Notamacropus eugenii: one gene and its partner. The protein of the gene in region 2 purifies or fractionates together with the protein of the main gene of each other region. This does not show direct contact. Links are inferred from orthologs where the notes say so. Each region holds a gene or a part of one and is shown on either strand. Other genes may lie near its edges.

The links. The genes of interacting proteins can lie anywhere in the genome.
Region 1: the proteins of PIM1 (region 2) and EDC3 purify together in Homo sapiens (affinity purification with mass spectrometry; 3 studies listed by BioGRID and IntAct, counting the BioPlex papers as one, with this or other methods). This does not show direct contact. The link is inferred for Notamacropus eugenii from reciprocal best matches to the Homo sapiens genes PIM1 and EDC3.

What each region holds. Positions count from the first base shown.
Region 1 is NC_092872.1:241,459,365-241,467,331, reverse strand, and holds the start of EDC3 (enhancer of mRNA-decapping protein 3), read right to left. Parts: upstream 3,576-7,967; 5' UTR 3,494-3,575; exon of another isoform or gene 3,490-3,493; intron 2,768-3,489; exon of another isoform or gene 1-2,767. UniProt on the Homo sapiens protein: Binds single-stranded RNA. Involved in the process of mRNA degradation and in the positive regulation of mRNA decapping. May play a role in spermiogenesis and oogenesis.
Region 2 is NC_092873.1:94,838,758-94,846,475, forward strand, and holds the start of PIM1 (serine/threonine-protein kinase pim-1), read left to right. Parts: upstream 1-4,292; coding exon 4,293-4,374; intron 4,375-4,628; coding exon 4,629-4,735; intron 4,736-4,895; coding exon 4,896-4,946; intron 4,947-5,038; coding exon 5,039-5,405; intron 5,406-7,627; coding exon 7,628-7,718. UniProt on the Homo sapiens protein: Proto-oncogene with serine/threonine kinase activity involved in cell survival and cell proliferation and thus providing a selective advantage in tumorigenesis.

The DNA.
Region 1 (7,967 bases), on a different chromosome or scaffold from region 2:
TGTACCACCTAACTGCCCCTACCTTTTCTATATTATTTGTTTCTACCGCTTCAGTCAAGTTAACAAACATTTATTAAGCACCTACCATGTACTAGTCACCATGGTAAGCACTAGGGATACATAGACCATGAATTCTGGGACAGCAGGGGCTGTTTTTGTTTCCTGTCCCCAGAACTTGGGGGGATAGGATGAACCACAATTAGACCAACTCCCTCATTTTACAGAAGAGAACTGAGGTCCATGGAGACTAAATTACTCTAGTCACTTAATAAATGTCAGGGTTTAAACCTAGATCCTGATAACTAGATAGCACTCCCTCTACCAGTCTCTGTGGTCGATAGGTCAATCAGTCAGTAATCAAGCATTTATCAAGGACCACCAGCACTGACCACTCCTCAGGTGTCAGTCTGGAAACTCGCTGCCGATGTCCCTCCCCTCCCCCCACTACCCTAGTTAAAACACTCAGGCTCCACAGGATGTGATGTATCACAACAGCCTGTTCAGGAAGAGCACCCTGAGGTAAACTCAGGGAGGACAAAGAATATGCAACTACCTTCCTTGTTTCAGCAAATGCTTAGTGAGCCCCTCTCTGCTCCATTCCACAGTGACAGAAATGCCTTCTAACTGGCCGTCTGGCCCCTACTTCCAAATCATACTCCAGGTACGATTTCAGCCACTGTTGATGCTACCCCAATCTAAACACTCTCATTGAGGAGATAGGACACACACAAATCACTACCACCCTGGGCACTTGCTGTAGGACATGTATCATATAAATGGTATTAACTATACATGATCTAGGAATCAAGAGGAAAGAACCCTGTGAATGCCAGGAGTCATAAAAGGTTGAAGGGATACAGTAGGTAGCTGGATTTCAGCTCAAAGACTAAGCCAACTTGGGAGGAGGCTCAAATTCCAAGGAAGGGAAAAAAGATGAGCAAACCTGGAGGTGGGAAACAGAAAAACCAGAGCCTTGTTACTTGGTATAAAGTACTATTAAGTGGATATGGACTTCACTCTACATGGTAGCTGTATTCACCCCTTGTAAACAAGTGGAGGCCATCAGTCTATCATAGACCTTGCAAGGGGCAATCTGTACTCCTGGGATAGATAGGTTCTAGAGACACAAAATCAATACTGACAGAAGGGATCTGAGTAGAAACTAGACATGGGAAGAAATCATATCCTGAGTCTTTCAGTACTGTATCCACTAATGAAACAAAACAAAGCACATGGAATACTTTGTTTATTTTAAAGTAGTCACATTCCTTTCCAATCTAAAACACAACTTCAAAGACTACAAAGTACTCAACAGTCATAATCCTACTTTTTAGCTTAAGTAATTTCAGAAATGATGCTATGTTATAAACAATAACAGAACCTGCAAACTGGAGGCAGGACAGGACCTGAGGGTAGAGATCCATGATACTTGTGTAGTCCACACAGAAAAAATATACAAGTCACAAATTTGCTGCTTCTTCATCACAACTAGGACAAATATCTGACCATGTGTCTTTCATGCTCAAAAACCTTAGGGGTTCCTAGTGCCCATAGGCAAAAGCACAAACTTCTGGCCAGGCATTTATACCCTCCACAGTCTTGCTCCCATCCAGCCTTCTCAGCTTTATTTTGTACAAACCCTTTCAAGAACTCTACATTCTAGCCAAACTAGTGTTGCTCCCTTCACTTGATCCCTTCTCTCTTCTGTGCATTCATTGCCTCAGAATTTGGCATTCTCCAAGACTTAGTTAATGCGCCAGTTCCTCATGAAGCCTTCCATGATGCCTTTGCTCCCTGGATTTCTTTGCCTCCTCAATTTTCCTCTACACTTATCTGTGTACAAGCTGGAAGATAGAACATAAGCTTGAGGGGAGAGATTGTTTTATTGTCTCGAACATACTAGGCACTTCAGGTCTACACAAACAGCAGCATAATTAGCTGCACCATCTTGGACTACCAAGGACTATATAGAGACCAAACAGAGACTTGCTCCTGTATATATAATATGTAGCACATAGTGGTCTTCTTTGGAAAAATCATGTATTTTCCACTCATCTGGAAATCTGTTTCTCTAGCTAAGAAGAGAAAGATAACATCCTGAATGTCATTACTTTCAGTTTCACGGATTCGCAAACTGTAAAAATTATCTCATAATCCACTGCTGGACAGCTGGTTATTAGGAAATCCTTCATTACAATGAGCTGCTATCTGCCTTTGATAGACCCAGATGCTTTAGAAATGGAAAAGACTGTAGAAATCATGTAGTTCAACTCCCTGAATTTTGCAGATCAAAGATTTCAGAGAGTTTAAGTGACCTGCCTACTTTAAGCCACACAGTCCTCCCAAAATGTAAAGGGTCATAGTTACAGCTCCTCCCTCCCCCCCAAAAAATGAAACCTCATTTTCACTTCAAACTGAGAAAACCTCTATTAAGGAGCTAACTAACAATGCTTAAAGCCACACTTCATAAAACAGGAATGACTTAATTTCATAATAGTGACAACAGGCTCTGATTAATGTGCATATAAAAGACAGCTAGTCAGCTAGTGGTGCAGTACATCGCTGTGGAATAAGGCAGAGCTAATGAAAAATTAACTGGCCCCTGTCAAATACAAACTCTGGTGTGAATATCAGTCACCACGATCAAATAAAGTGTCCAGTTTAGTCATCCCTTTAATTCTACAATAAATTTCCTAAGAAAGCTGGAATCATATCTTTCATAATTTAGGAATAAACTATTTCACGAGTGAGAGGATAATATGGAATAACACACCCAACCACTATGGAGTCAAACAAGAATCTCAGATCTGAGCAAAACTTTGGAGATGCTTCATCAGTACCACGTCAGGAAGGGAGCAGGGAAACTGTTTGGGGGGGAGGGGTGTCCACATGGAGCGGGCCCAGCCCCTTCCCCACCCCGCCCCAGGTGTTAGGAATTTCACGAGTAACTTCTCCCCTCCTCGGTCCTCGCCCGGCATGGGTGCAAGGACCTATCCCTTCCGAAAGGAGTGCGTGGTTCAGGGTTGGGAACCCCAGGGCCCTTGGGGATCTCTGGCTCCCATTCCAGCCTCCGGGCCCCCCCGCAAGCACCCCTGCTCAGCCCACGGGGCCACGGGCGGCTAGGGCTGGAAGGAGGGGCCACAGAGAGAAACTCGAGCCCCTCGCTGGGGAGATAAGGACACCGACGGTCGTAGAGGAGCAGCCACCCGCCCAGGTCTCGCAGCAAGACGCCCCCCTCGCAGCCCAAGCCTCGGGTGCTGCGCCCCTCCCCCCGTCCCCCGAGGCCCGCGGGCAGGAGGGAGGCGGGCTTGGTTCAGTACGGTCGGTCGCTCTCGCGCGGCCTGCCCGCACCTGAGGTCCGGCCACCGCGCCGGACTGGGCCGGGCCTGGGGCCCAGGCGGGGGGAGCCCGAGGGGCAGGGAAGAAGGGAGGGCGGGAGAGAGAGCGAGCCGAGGAGGCCGCTGCCTCCGCACCGCCCCACACACTTACAGACCCCAGCGCCGCCGCCGCCCGCCGTCGGCCGGAAGTGCCCGAGCGTCCCCACGCCGACGTCATGCCGTCACATCCGCCGCGTCGCCGGGGCAACCGGGACAACGGCCGCCGGGAGCGGGGAGGGCTACGGGGGCGGGGCCGGGGGCGGGGCTAGACGAGCGGCGTGGATCCCAAAACCTTCCCGGTCGGTTGACCCCATCTTCTACGTGCTTCGTGTTTCTTCATCTACCAAATGGGCGCAGTAACCTCCTAGCGTGGTTGTGGGAACCAAACGAGAGACTCTAAAGTGCTTCCAGAGCAGTGGAAACGGTGATGAGCGTGATGGTCTATGTGGGGGAGGAAGAGGATAGAGCTGGGCGAGACCTAACAGAGTCCTGAGTTCAAATCCAGCCTGGGCTTGAGGAGTGATGGGATGAACTCTATTCCCTACAGAGCCCCCTCCCCGCACCCCATTCCACTTTGTGACAGCTCTAATGTTTATATATGTGTTTACATAATGTATAGTCCTAGTGGTGATGAAATTTTTCTTTACATTTGCCTTAATATACCTCTTTGCAACTTTTACGCCCTGCTTCTAGTTCTGCCTTTTAGGGAAAAGAAAAGTCAAATCCTTATTCCTTGAGATAGCCCTTTCCAAAACTCCCTACCCCACCCCCAGTCTTCTATAGTCTAAGCACTTCTAATTCCTTCGGTCTATCCTCATATGGCATTTTCCTTTTTAAAAAACATTTTATTTTACTATTTTAAACATTTAAAAAAATTTGAGTTCCAAATTATCTCACTCCCACCTCCTCTACCACTCACTGGGAGGACAATCATGATATCAATTATATGTTTGAAATCATGCAAACCTTTCCATATGAGCCTTATCACAAAAGGAAAAAAAAAGAAAGCAAGAAAATTATACTTCAATTTGCCTCAGAGTTCATCAGTTCTCTTTCTGGAGTTAGTATTTTTCTTCATGAATTCTTTGGAATTGTCTTGGAACATTGTAATGATCAGAGTGGCCAACTTTTTCAAAGCTGATCAACATTACAACGTGTAGCATGACTGTGAGAAATTAATATTTCTCATATTTAATTATTATATTAGGACCAGGGTTTTTCCCCTTTTCTACTTCCTCATCCAGAAACCAACCAGTGTGGGAAATCCCTCTTAGAGATTTACCGAGGCCAAGATTTAATCAGACAGTAAAAGAAATTCTAAGTTTGGGCTGATAGATGCATTTTTGCTCACTGTGTTTGCTCTGACAGATCTAGGGAAAGGTTGAGTCCCCCTATTATCAAGACAGGTGATATGGAAATTGATATATCTTTGACCAAGATTTGAGTGAACTTTTACCCCCAAGATTTTCATTTTAATATAGCCCATACCTCCCATTGTGTTAACCAAACAGAGCTGATTAGGCACCCCCTCAAGAACACTGATTCTTCAAAGGGCATGTAAACTGTGAGCCTACCACCATGAGGGATCTTTGGTCTAAGAGAGCTGGCCAAATGGCCATCCTTTTATTTTTTTATTTATATTATTAAATTTATTATTACTTTATTCATTACACCTTAAAGGAACCCTTGTCAGGACACTCTTCGGCTTATCATCCATCCTATATTGTGGTGCCAGTACTGCAGACACAGTCTCTCCTGGCTCCATTGCCTCCAATAATTCAGGGTGCTAGCCTGCTGGTCATTGACACTGAGCTTGTAGTTCACCAAAACCCTTAGATCTTTCTCAGACAGACTCTGCCTAATCTTGTCTTTCCAGTGTATATCAGAGGCAGAATTGGAACCCAGTTGTTCCTGTCTTTGAGGTGGTTCTCTCTCCACTACACCATACTGCCTCTCCTGACACACAGTAGGAGCTTAATAAAGTCTTGTTTGTTGATTAATGATACTTTCAGGAACCCATGGTCATATCTTTGTATACACAGAAGCCTTAACAAGTGAAAATTGTCTTAAAACTGGAGGAAGTTACATTGTTTTCATTGAGAGAAAACAAACACTAGACTGAGCAAATAATGGAAAGGTGTGGAGTTTCCATCTCTGAATATATCCAAGAAGAATCCAGACAGTGAGACACATATTCCCTTTCCAAGAGAGTCAAAGAGGTCTGAGATGGCTGATGCGCAGAGGCTTCCCAGCTCCAAGGATTCTGTATGATGTCTGCCTTGCAGTGATGATATATTCCTGCTTTGATCAGTTTCACACTCCTCTTTCCCACCTGGGATTTCCATTCCCCCTGACAGATCAAGCTGCTAGGTAACACTACACCTTTTTCTATGATACTCCCAGACTTATGCTTTACCCCTGTCCTGGGGCTTAAACAGTTCCATGAATCCTGAAGAATCCAAGTCCCTAGTTCTCAGGCAGGCCTAGGGACTTGCATGCAGACTTGGGAGTCTCCCATGCTAATGATTTATGTGCCTCTGTCCTGCAAACTAGTAATTAAAACTTGCATAACAGTGATCTTACCCTAACTAGCACCTCAACTGGACAAAGCATCAGCCTGGTTGTCTGTAATCTAAGTGTTCCAGATAACTTGACCTATGTCCAGTTTTATCCCAGTTCCCTGTGGTTATAGTTCACTGTTCAAAAAACAGGGACCAGCAAAATGGGTACATGATTTAGATATAAAGAGTGATGCCATAAGCAATTTAGGAGAGCTGGGAATAGTTTACCTGTCAGGTCTTATGAACAAACAAGAAATAGAAAGCATTCCAAGATGTAAAATGGATAATTTTGATTATATTAAATTTAAAAAGTTTTGCACAAAACCAATGCAAGCAAGATTAGAAGGAAAGCAGAAAGCTGGGAAACAATTTTTACAGCAAGTGTTTCTGAAAAAAGGCTCATTTCTGAAATACATAGAGAACTGAGTCAAATTTATAGAAATACAAGTCATTCTCCAATTGATAAGTGGTCAAAGGATATGAACAGGCAGTTTTCAGATGAAGAAATCAAAGCTGTAGTCCTATAAAAATGCTGTAAATCATTATTAGAGAAATGCAAATTAAAACAGTTCTGAGGTACTACCTCACACCTATCAGATTGGCTAATATGACAGAAAAGGAAAATGATGAATGTTGGAAAGGTCATGGGGAAAAAGGAACACTAATGCACTATTGGTGGAGTTGTGAACTGATCCAGTCTTTCTGAAGAGCACTTTGGAACTATGCTTCAAGGGCTATAAAACTGTGCATACCCTTTGACCCAGCAGTACCACTTCCAGGTCTGTATCCCAAAGAGATAAAAATGGAAAAAGGATCCATGTTTACAAATGTATAGCAGCCCTTTTTGTGATGGCAAAGAATTGGAAATTCAGAGGATTTCCATCAATTGGGGAATGGCTGAACAAGCTGTGGTATATGAATGTAATGGAATACTATTGTGCTATAGGAAATGATGAGCAGGCAGATTTCAGAAAAACCTGGAAAGACTTACTTGAACTGATGCTGAGTAAAGTGAACAAAACCAGGAGAACGTTGTACACAGTAAGAGCAACATTGTGGAATGATCAACTGTGATGGACTTAGCTCTTCTTGGCAATACAATGATCCAAGACAATTCCAAAGGACTAAGGAAGGAAAATGCTATCCATATCCAGAGAAAGAACTATGGAGATAGAAGCATACTATTTTCACTTGTGTGTGTGTACTTTTTTACAGATTGTTTCTTCTTTCACAATATGACTAATATGAAAATAGGTTTTACATGATTGCATATATAATCTATATCAAATTGCTTACCATTTTAGGGAGGGGGGAGAATAGGGAAGTAGGGAGAAAATTTAGAGCTCAAAATTTTATTTTAAAAAATGTTAAAAATTGCTTTTACATGTAGTTAGGAAAAAAAACTATTAAAAAAAACCAAATCAGGTTATAAAGCAAAGGGAATGGGAATGAGATATCATTCCATAAGCCAACTCCTCCTTTCCCTGTAGCCACCAGAAAAGAGAAACTGCAAATGGTCAAGTGCCTCCTGATCCCTGTGTCTTGCGCTTGAGCAGCATCATGTTCTCCAAGACTGACCACATCACTGTCAAGCTTTAGACCTATCAGTGGCTCCCTGTTATCCCTAGGATAAAATACGAAGTCTCTGGTCATGGTGGACATTGAAAGGCTATGTGCCTTTCTAGATTTGTTTCATATTTCTTCCTTTCACGTGCTCTATCTGAGCCAAACTGGCCCATTCAGGTCCCTGAACTCAATATTCCACCTCCAGTATCTCTTGCCTTTGCACAGACTACTCTGCTTGCCTGGAATCTGCTTCTGCCTCACCTCTCTACCTCATCAAAACAATAGCTTCTTTCAAGGGCCATCTTGGATTACTTGAACTTACTCCCACTTCCAGAGCTCTGAGATCAAGCTCACCTGCCTTCTTTCTGTTGCTCATACCTGACATTTGAAGGTCCCTTTGTACAAGTTCTACCTGCTTCCCCCAATACACGTACAGAGAGACACACACTTAGTAGAAAGTAAG
Region 2 (7,718 bases):
CAGGAAGTTGAAAGGAGTTAGAGAGTAATTGATCATGAAGCTGGTAAAGACTCATGCAAAAGGGCTTACTCAGACAGTAGGATCTGCATAATACACACAACACTGCAACAAGGTTTAATATTGATCCTAAGATTTCTCTTAAAAGTCATCCTGTAAAGCTTCACTTTCTCCTTTCAATGAAAATAGGCAGCTTTAGTGAGCAGGGCTTTTAAAGGGTCTAAAAATCTTAGCTTCAAGCTCAGCTTTGATACAGGCTGGCTGTAAACCTGGATGAAGCCCTAAACCTCAGTGCTCCAGGCTACTCTCAATCAAGGAATATTTACTAAGAGCCTACTGCCTTCAAGGTATTGTGCTTATATGCTATTGAAAATGTAAAATAACAATAAAATGTAGCTATATACGCAAGGACAAATGGCTCATGTTTATATAATCTTTATAATTTACAAAGTTTACGGTCGCACACTTGGCAAAATACAGTGAGAACTCAAATCTTTATCATTTGAAGAGCAGTGCACTTAATATCAAAATCATACTGCCTCTGAGGCGGTTATGCTGGAGGTTAGGCAGACAATGGATAAAAAGTAAAACAGCAATAAATAACACAACAGTACAAGACATGCCACAAGGTTTATTTTTTATTATTATTTTATCACCAAATATGTAGAATAGGCAATAGGAGAGTAGAGTAGGCTAGGAAGGCTCCATGAAGGAGCTCAGAGCTGAATTTTTAAGGAGTAATTGTTTGGAGCAGCTAGTTTGCTCGGTGAATAGAGCACTGGTACTGGAGTCAGAAAGACCAGAGTTCAAATCCGGTCTCAGACACACTTACTTAGCTGTGCCCCTGGGCAAGTCACTTAACCTCCGTTTGCCTTAATACCCTGGCGGGGGAAATAGCAAACCACTCCAGGATCTTTGTCAAGAAAATTCCATAGACAGTATTGGTGTGTTATGGCCCACAGGGTAGAGAAGTCCCGACAAAACTCAACAATAACAGTACTTGATTAGGATAGAGGAAGCGATGAGGTTGAAAAATGCAAAGCATATTTAGGAATATAATAGGATCCTAGGAGATAGAACAAATCCAATTTAGATTGAAGTGATAGGCCCTGAGATCAAGGTTCCTGAGAAATAAGGCCTGTCTGGAAGGCTGGGCCAAGTTAAAGAGTTTGGAGTCAGTTAGTCTTTTAGTGTATTCATTCATCATCCATTTTAATAATATGTACAAAGGCAATGAATGTTGGGACAAACTATGTCTCATTGTCTTAACATCAAACATTAGATTTCAGCACCAGTGTGGTGGATTGGGAGTCGAAAGACCTGGATTTTAAAATTCTATTTCAGACACTTACTATCTGAGTGCTAACAGACAAATGAGAACCTCTCAGAGTTTGGTTGGATACTATTTGTACTTAAGTCAAGGGATTGTTCTGAGGAAATGATACAAATGTGAGTTATTCTTAATTAATCCATAACACACAAACAAGAAAATGAAAGGAAATTGACTAACAAATGTGCTACATAAATAACATGAGCAAATAACAGCGCCAGGTTTTTAGTAAAATATGTAAACGTTACAGTTGACAGTGGTTGTCCGTCATTCAGACACTTCCCTATTTTTCCTTTCAAGCAGCAGCAACCTAAGCATGAAGTATTTAAAATAAAATCCTGCTCACTAAACAGTTTTATTTTCAAACCTACTATGTTCAAGATATGTGAAGGAGGAATTAAGGAAAAAGTGATAGTGCTATGCATTTAGACCATACAAAGACAAAACAGCTCCTACCCTCAAGCAGCTTACTAACGTAAGTACTGAAGGGATAAAACACCTGTGCCCACAAATGAAAATACAAAGAAATTTCAGAATGGACTAGAGGAATGGGATCTGAACTTTTGAAGGAAACCTGGAATTCCAGAAAGAAATAAGGGGAGAAGTGCATTCCAAGCCCAGCAGGGCAACCTCTGCAAAGGAGATGCAGATTATACTAACAGAGGTAATAAAAGGGAACAATATGAAATAAATTCAGAATCATAGGTGGGAGCCTGATTTTGGAGGTGCTCTTTCATTGGAAAATCCCTGCCAGATGGAGGAATTTGTATTTTGTCCTGGAGGCAGCAGGGAGCTACGGAAGACTTTGGAAGAGAGGAATGGGGAAACTTAGATCAGCAGGATGGAGGCTGGATTGGAGAAGGGTGACTGGAAGTTGAGGAACGAATTAGAAGGGATGTGACTGGGTGATAATGAAGGATGCTGAAAGCACCAGGTGGAGGGGAGCAAAGGGAGGGAGGTGAGTCCACGACGTCTGGAGCGAGGTGGGAACCCGGACGCCTTCAGCAGAAGTAGAGAAGTTTGCGGGATGCTTCGGGGCGGTGGCACGCTTAGTGAATTCCGTTTCGGACCTGTGGAGTCCGGGTGGAGGTGCTCCGTTCTCATCCGCGCTCCCCCCCGTCATCTTAACTCAGTGTGTTTCATGGTTAGACATCCTCTTAAAGGAAGGAGGGAAAATTCAGTGGCTCCTTTCGCACTTTGTTAGCAGTTAGTGCACGGTTAGGAAGGTGGGGCCGGAGCAGGCTCGGGACGAGCAACATAGTAGCAACAAAGCTGGGTGTGGCCAGGGTGGGGGAGGGAGGTGAAAACTGTGAATGAAACCGGGAGCTTCCGATCCAGATGGGCTGGGACTCCGCTCGCAGGAGCGGGATGTCCCCGTGCCACCGCACCCTGCGCAGGACCCGGGCTGAACCGCGTCTGGAGCGGAGGCGGGGATGACGGCTACCCTGGCCCTCTTTTCTTCTTTTTAATTGTACAAAGTATCTAAATGCCACCTCTTGTAGAAAGGCTGAAATCATCCGGATGGATAAATAACCCTTCCCTTGGTTTTTGAGAGTTCGGAGCCCACTTTTGTTCCAAAGACCTATGAGACATCCCCATTCCTTTGGTGACTCACAGCCCTGCAGTGCCACCCTCCACCCCCTCACCCGCACCGATGGGCGCTTGCCCTTCAACCGCGGGCTCCCCGGGAGCGAAGCCCGCGTCCACTGAGCCAGGCAGAGCGGGCATGGAGGTCACGCACACACAAACGCACACACACAAAGACACTCACCCCCCGTCCCCGACCACCCTGCTCGACATACACACCCAACCCCCTCCGCTGCCACCAATCGTCCCCGAACTTGGTCTACGGCAAGCCTGACCCCAAGGCTCTACCGCATAGAGAAAGAGAACGGGGCAGAGGAGAAGAAGAGACAGAGAAAGGGAAAGAAAGGAGAGAGGGGAGAGGGGGGAAGGTGGGGGAGAGAGGGAGGAGATGGAGAGAGAGAGGGAGGGAGAAAGAGGGAGAGAGAGGGAGAGGTGGGCAGACCCCAAGCTTCCTTTGATGGCTTTTGTTATTGTTTGGGTTTGAATTGATAAGCCCCTCCCCATCCTTCCTCCCCGTGGCCCTGCACCCGGCTCCCGCCTCCTCCTCTCGGAGCCCGCACTTCTCTCGCCCCTCCCCCTCCATTTTGGCGCCTTTTCCTTCCCGCCACGTCGAGGCGGCGTAGCTACCATTCTGACGGTGGGGGGAGGGGGCCTCTGGGGGCGGGGCATTTGCTTTATGCAGATCCGCTGGGCTCTGGTTGGCTGGGGGCGGCCTTGCGGGGGCGGGGTTTGGTCGTGCCGGCCGTGCGGTGGGGAATTCTCCTTCCCAGCTGCTTTCCCCACCCTCCACCCCCCCTTGTCTTCCCACCAGCGACTCGGCAGCCGGGCGCCCCGCCCCCGACCGCCCCGCCCAGCCTCCCGGAGAGGCCCCGCCCGTCCGCTCGCGCGCCCGCCCCCCGCCCCCCCGCTCCCGCGCGCTACGCCCCCTTTACTCCTGGCTGCCGGGCGAGCCGGGCGTCTGCGGCGGCGGCGGCAGAAGCGGCGGCGGTGGCGGTGGCGGTGGCGGCGGCGGAAGAAGTCTAAGAAACAGCAGGGACGGCGGCGGCGGCTCCCGGGGCAGAGGCGGCGGCAGCAGCAGCGGCAGCCCGAGCAGCCCCAGCCCGAGCAGCCCCAGCCCGAGCAGCCGCAGCACCAGCCGCAGCAGCAGCAGCAGCAGCGGCAGCGGCGGCGGCGGCGGAGGCAGCGGCGGCGGCAGCAGCGACGGGCCGGCTTCTGCAGCGGCGAGCTCGGCACCGCAGCGCCGCGGGCTCCGCTGCGGCACACTGATCCCGCCAAGCCGCCCCGGCAGCGCCCCCACCCCAATCCCCGCCTGCCCCCCCACGCTCCGCCCGGCCCCAGCGGCGTCCGCCCCATCGCCCTGTCACCCCTGTACCCTGGGATGCTGCTGTCCAAGATCAACTCCCTGGCCCACCTGTGCTCCGGGCCCTGCGTGGAGCTGCACCCGGCCAAGCTGCCTCCCGGTGAGGACCCACCCCGGGGTGGAGGGCGGGGACCCGCACCGGACCGCACCGGACCTACGGGGCAGGGAGGACGGCGGGGTCAGGGGCGGGGAGCCGGGGCAGGGTGCCCGCCGGCAGGGCAGAGCCGGCGAGGACGAGGACGCTTGGGGAAGGGGCGTCCCGGGAGGAAAGGAGATGCGGGCACTGACGGGGGGGTGCCGGGATGGGCAGGGGGCCGCTTCCAACAGTCCCTGACGGGGCTTTTTCCTCCGTAGGGAAAGAAAAGGAGCCCCTGGAGAAGCAGTACCAGGTGGGCCCGCTGCTGGGCAGCGGTGGCTTTGGGTCGGTCTACTCGGGCACCCGGCTGGCAGATGGCGCGCCGGTAAGCGGGCTCCGAAAACGCCGGGGAGCCCTCCCTCGACTCCGCCTGGCCCCGGGTCCGGCTCGGAGTGGAGGGGGAGGCGGAGGGAGAGCTGTGCGGGGGCGGGCCTGGGGAGGGGGCTCGGCGCTAACCTCCGACCTTCCCCTTGGGGGCTTTGCAGGTTGCTATCAAGCACGTGGACCGGGACAGGATCTCGGACTGGGGGGAGCTGGTAAGTGCCTGGGACCCGTGTCTTTGGGGGTGGGGGCGTGAGCCTGGCTGTGTCCCCGCGTGTCTCCTGACCCCCGTGACTCTTGTCCGCAGCCCAATGGCAGCCGAGTGCCCATGGAAATTCTCCTGTTGAAGAAAGTGAGTTCGGGGTTCCCGGGGGTCATCCGACTTCTGGACTGGTTCGAGAGGCCCGACAGCTTCATCCTGGTGCTGGAGCGCCCGGAGCCGGTCCAGGACCTCTTCGACTTCATCACGGAGAGGGGAGCCCTGCAGGAGGAGCTGGCCCGGAGCTTCTTCTGGCAGGTGCTGGAGGCTGTCAGACACTGCCACAGTTGTGGGGTGCTGCACCGAGACATCAAGGACGAAAACATTCTCATCGACCTCAACCGGGGGGAGCTCAAGCTGATTGACTTCGGGTCCGGGGCGCTGCTCAAGGACACCGTCTACACCGACTTTGACGGTGAGTGGAGACCCCGGGAAAAGGCAGGTGCTGCCCTGACCTACAACTGTCCCCCTCCTCAGGGGCCTTCTTCGCCGACCTTTTTCCAAAGGTCATCTTGCCTGGCTGGAAGAAGCGGGGCCGCTTCCAGAGGGTGGGGCGGGAGACAGCAGACCTTGGAAGTTGTGCTGTGCGCTTAGAGGAGACCCCCGACCTAGCCTTTAGGGCTTTGATAGGCTCAGAAAGGAGCGAGCTTCTGCTGTCTGTATCGAGAACCTGAGTTGTGGCGTTCCCCTCCTAACCTGCCCGCTTAGTTCACGGGGAGACCGGCTTCCACCAAACCTGACTTGTCATAGCCCAGATTTTAAAATCCTGACCCACTTTCCCGAGCACTGAGGGGGTGTTGAGGACAGAGTGATGAGGGGAGGGAGAAAGGGCTTTGGAAAGGGAATTTGCTGGTAGTTTCTTGTGGGTGGTCTCGGTTTATTTTTCTTTTGAACTAGCTGAGTCAGTCAGGAAGGAGAAACTGTTCTCTTGTCTTTTCACTAAATTATTCATTCTGCTGGTAAAGGTGGTAGTGGTTTGTTTTTGTTTTTCAGTTCAGGGATGAATGTTGTGAAATAAGATCTGTAGATTTTAAAATGAGTTCATTCTGCCCCCACCCCCTCCCGCTTGATCTCACCACTCTCCCCTCGCCCGGTGCCAAACAGAGGCATTAGGGTAAGGGGAGGGGTTTGGGGCTGGTCCTTTCTGCAGCAGGGAGGAATGTGGGAGCTTCCCTGCACTTGACATCAAAGAATAGGAGGGGTGGGGAATGATCTGAGAGGTTGAGGCGAGCAAACTGCTGACTTTCAAAACCTGTGACTCGGGCTTGCGGTTTGTGTTTATTTGCCCTTGGAAGATGCTGGGCCTGGGCTGCATTTTTTGTATTTCACAGTTAATGGCTGGCAGGACCCTCCCACCTTTCCAGGCCTCTGCTGCCCCCTGGTGAGCGAGAAGCAGGGGTGTGCCTTTTTTTTTTTTACAACCCAAAGTTTGTAAACAGGAATCACGTGGCCTAGAAACCAGCCCTACTGCTCTGACCTCAGCCTACTCTTCCTGCCTGGGGAAGAGGAGGTGGTGGCCAGGAGAAGAGGGCGTGGGCTTGGGCTAAGCACATGCTCTGGGCATAATAGCATTTACTAGGGCATGGGAGCCCAATTTCTGATGTCATGGAAGTGTACCAATTTGGATGAGAGTCAAGTGTTGGCAACATTTGAATTTACTTTTAAGAATAGTTGGTTGTAAGTATGTCAGATTTCCTTAAGACCTACTCTGATTTTTATTATGGGTGGTCTCCTGAAAGGTGGGGGGGCAGGTTCGACCTTGGCATTTAGATTTGAAAAATGGGCTTAAGAGATCTAGTCCAAATCTCCTTTTTTACCAAAGAGGAAACGTGAGACTCAGAAGAATCCCTCATTTACCAGTTCTCCGAATGTGGTCAGATGCTTTCTGAGCATCAGTTTCCCTGTCTGTAAAATGGAGCTTTTATTTGTACATCTGCTTCAGCACAAGGATATTTTAAAAGTTTTTTTAAATTATTGAAATCTGAAATCACATTCTAGATTACTTGAAAGTTTTAAATTCTTATATTTAAACATAAGCTTAATGTTTTCAGTTCTGGATATGGTGCCAAAGAAGAAAGGAACCTAAAAGCAGTGATAGCTTTTTTAATTGTTTATTTTTAGCATTTTTTTAAAAATTTTGAGTCCTGCATTTTTTCCTCCTCTCCCACCCATTGAGAAGACAAGCAAAAGGTAGCAGTTATACTTAAGAAGTCAAGTCATAGATATTCCAAGTGGTAGTCCAGGTTGTCTCTTGGAAATTATTAATTGTTCATAATAAGTGTTTCTGTCATAATAGGTTCTGTACCCCCAAAAGGAAAAAAGTTGGGATTCAAACTCTATTCCCTATATATTCTAGCATATAAATTTGGTGATCTGTTTGTGTTTGGTGTCTATCTTCTTTACCAAAAAAAAAAAAAGTCCTATTTCTTGAAGCAAATTTTTACAGAACTTAAGTTTATTGTTAGACATCCAGGAAATATCATGAGCCACCTACTATTCCCTTATTAATCCTTAACAAACACTTAGCACTCGCAGTATGAAATACTTGGGTTAGAAAACTGTATACCATTTTTTTTTCTCTTTGGTTAGAAAAATAGCATGTTTTCCCCTACTAATCTCCCATGATGTATTTTGCAGGGACGCGGGTGTATAGCCCACCAGAGTGGATCCGTTACCACCGATACCATGGCAGGTCTGCGGCAGTGTGGTCCCTGGGGATCTTGTTGTA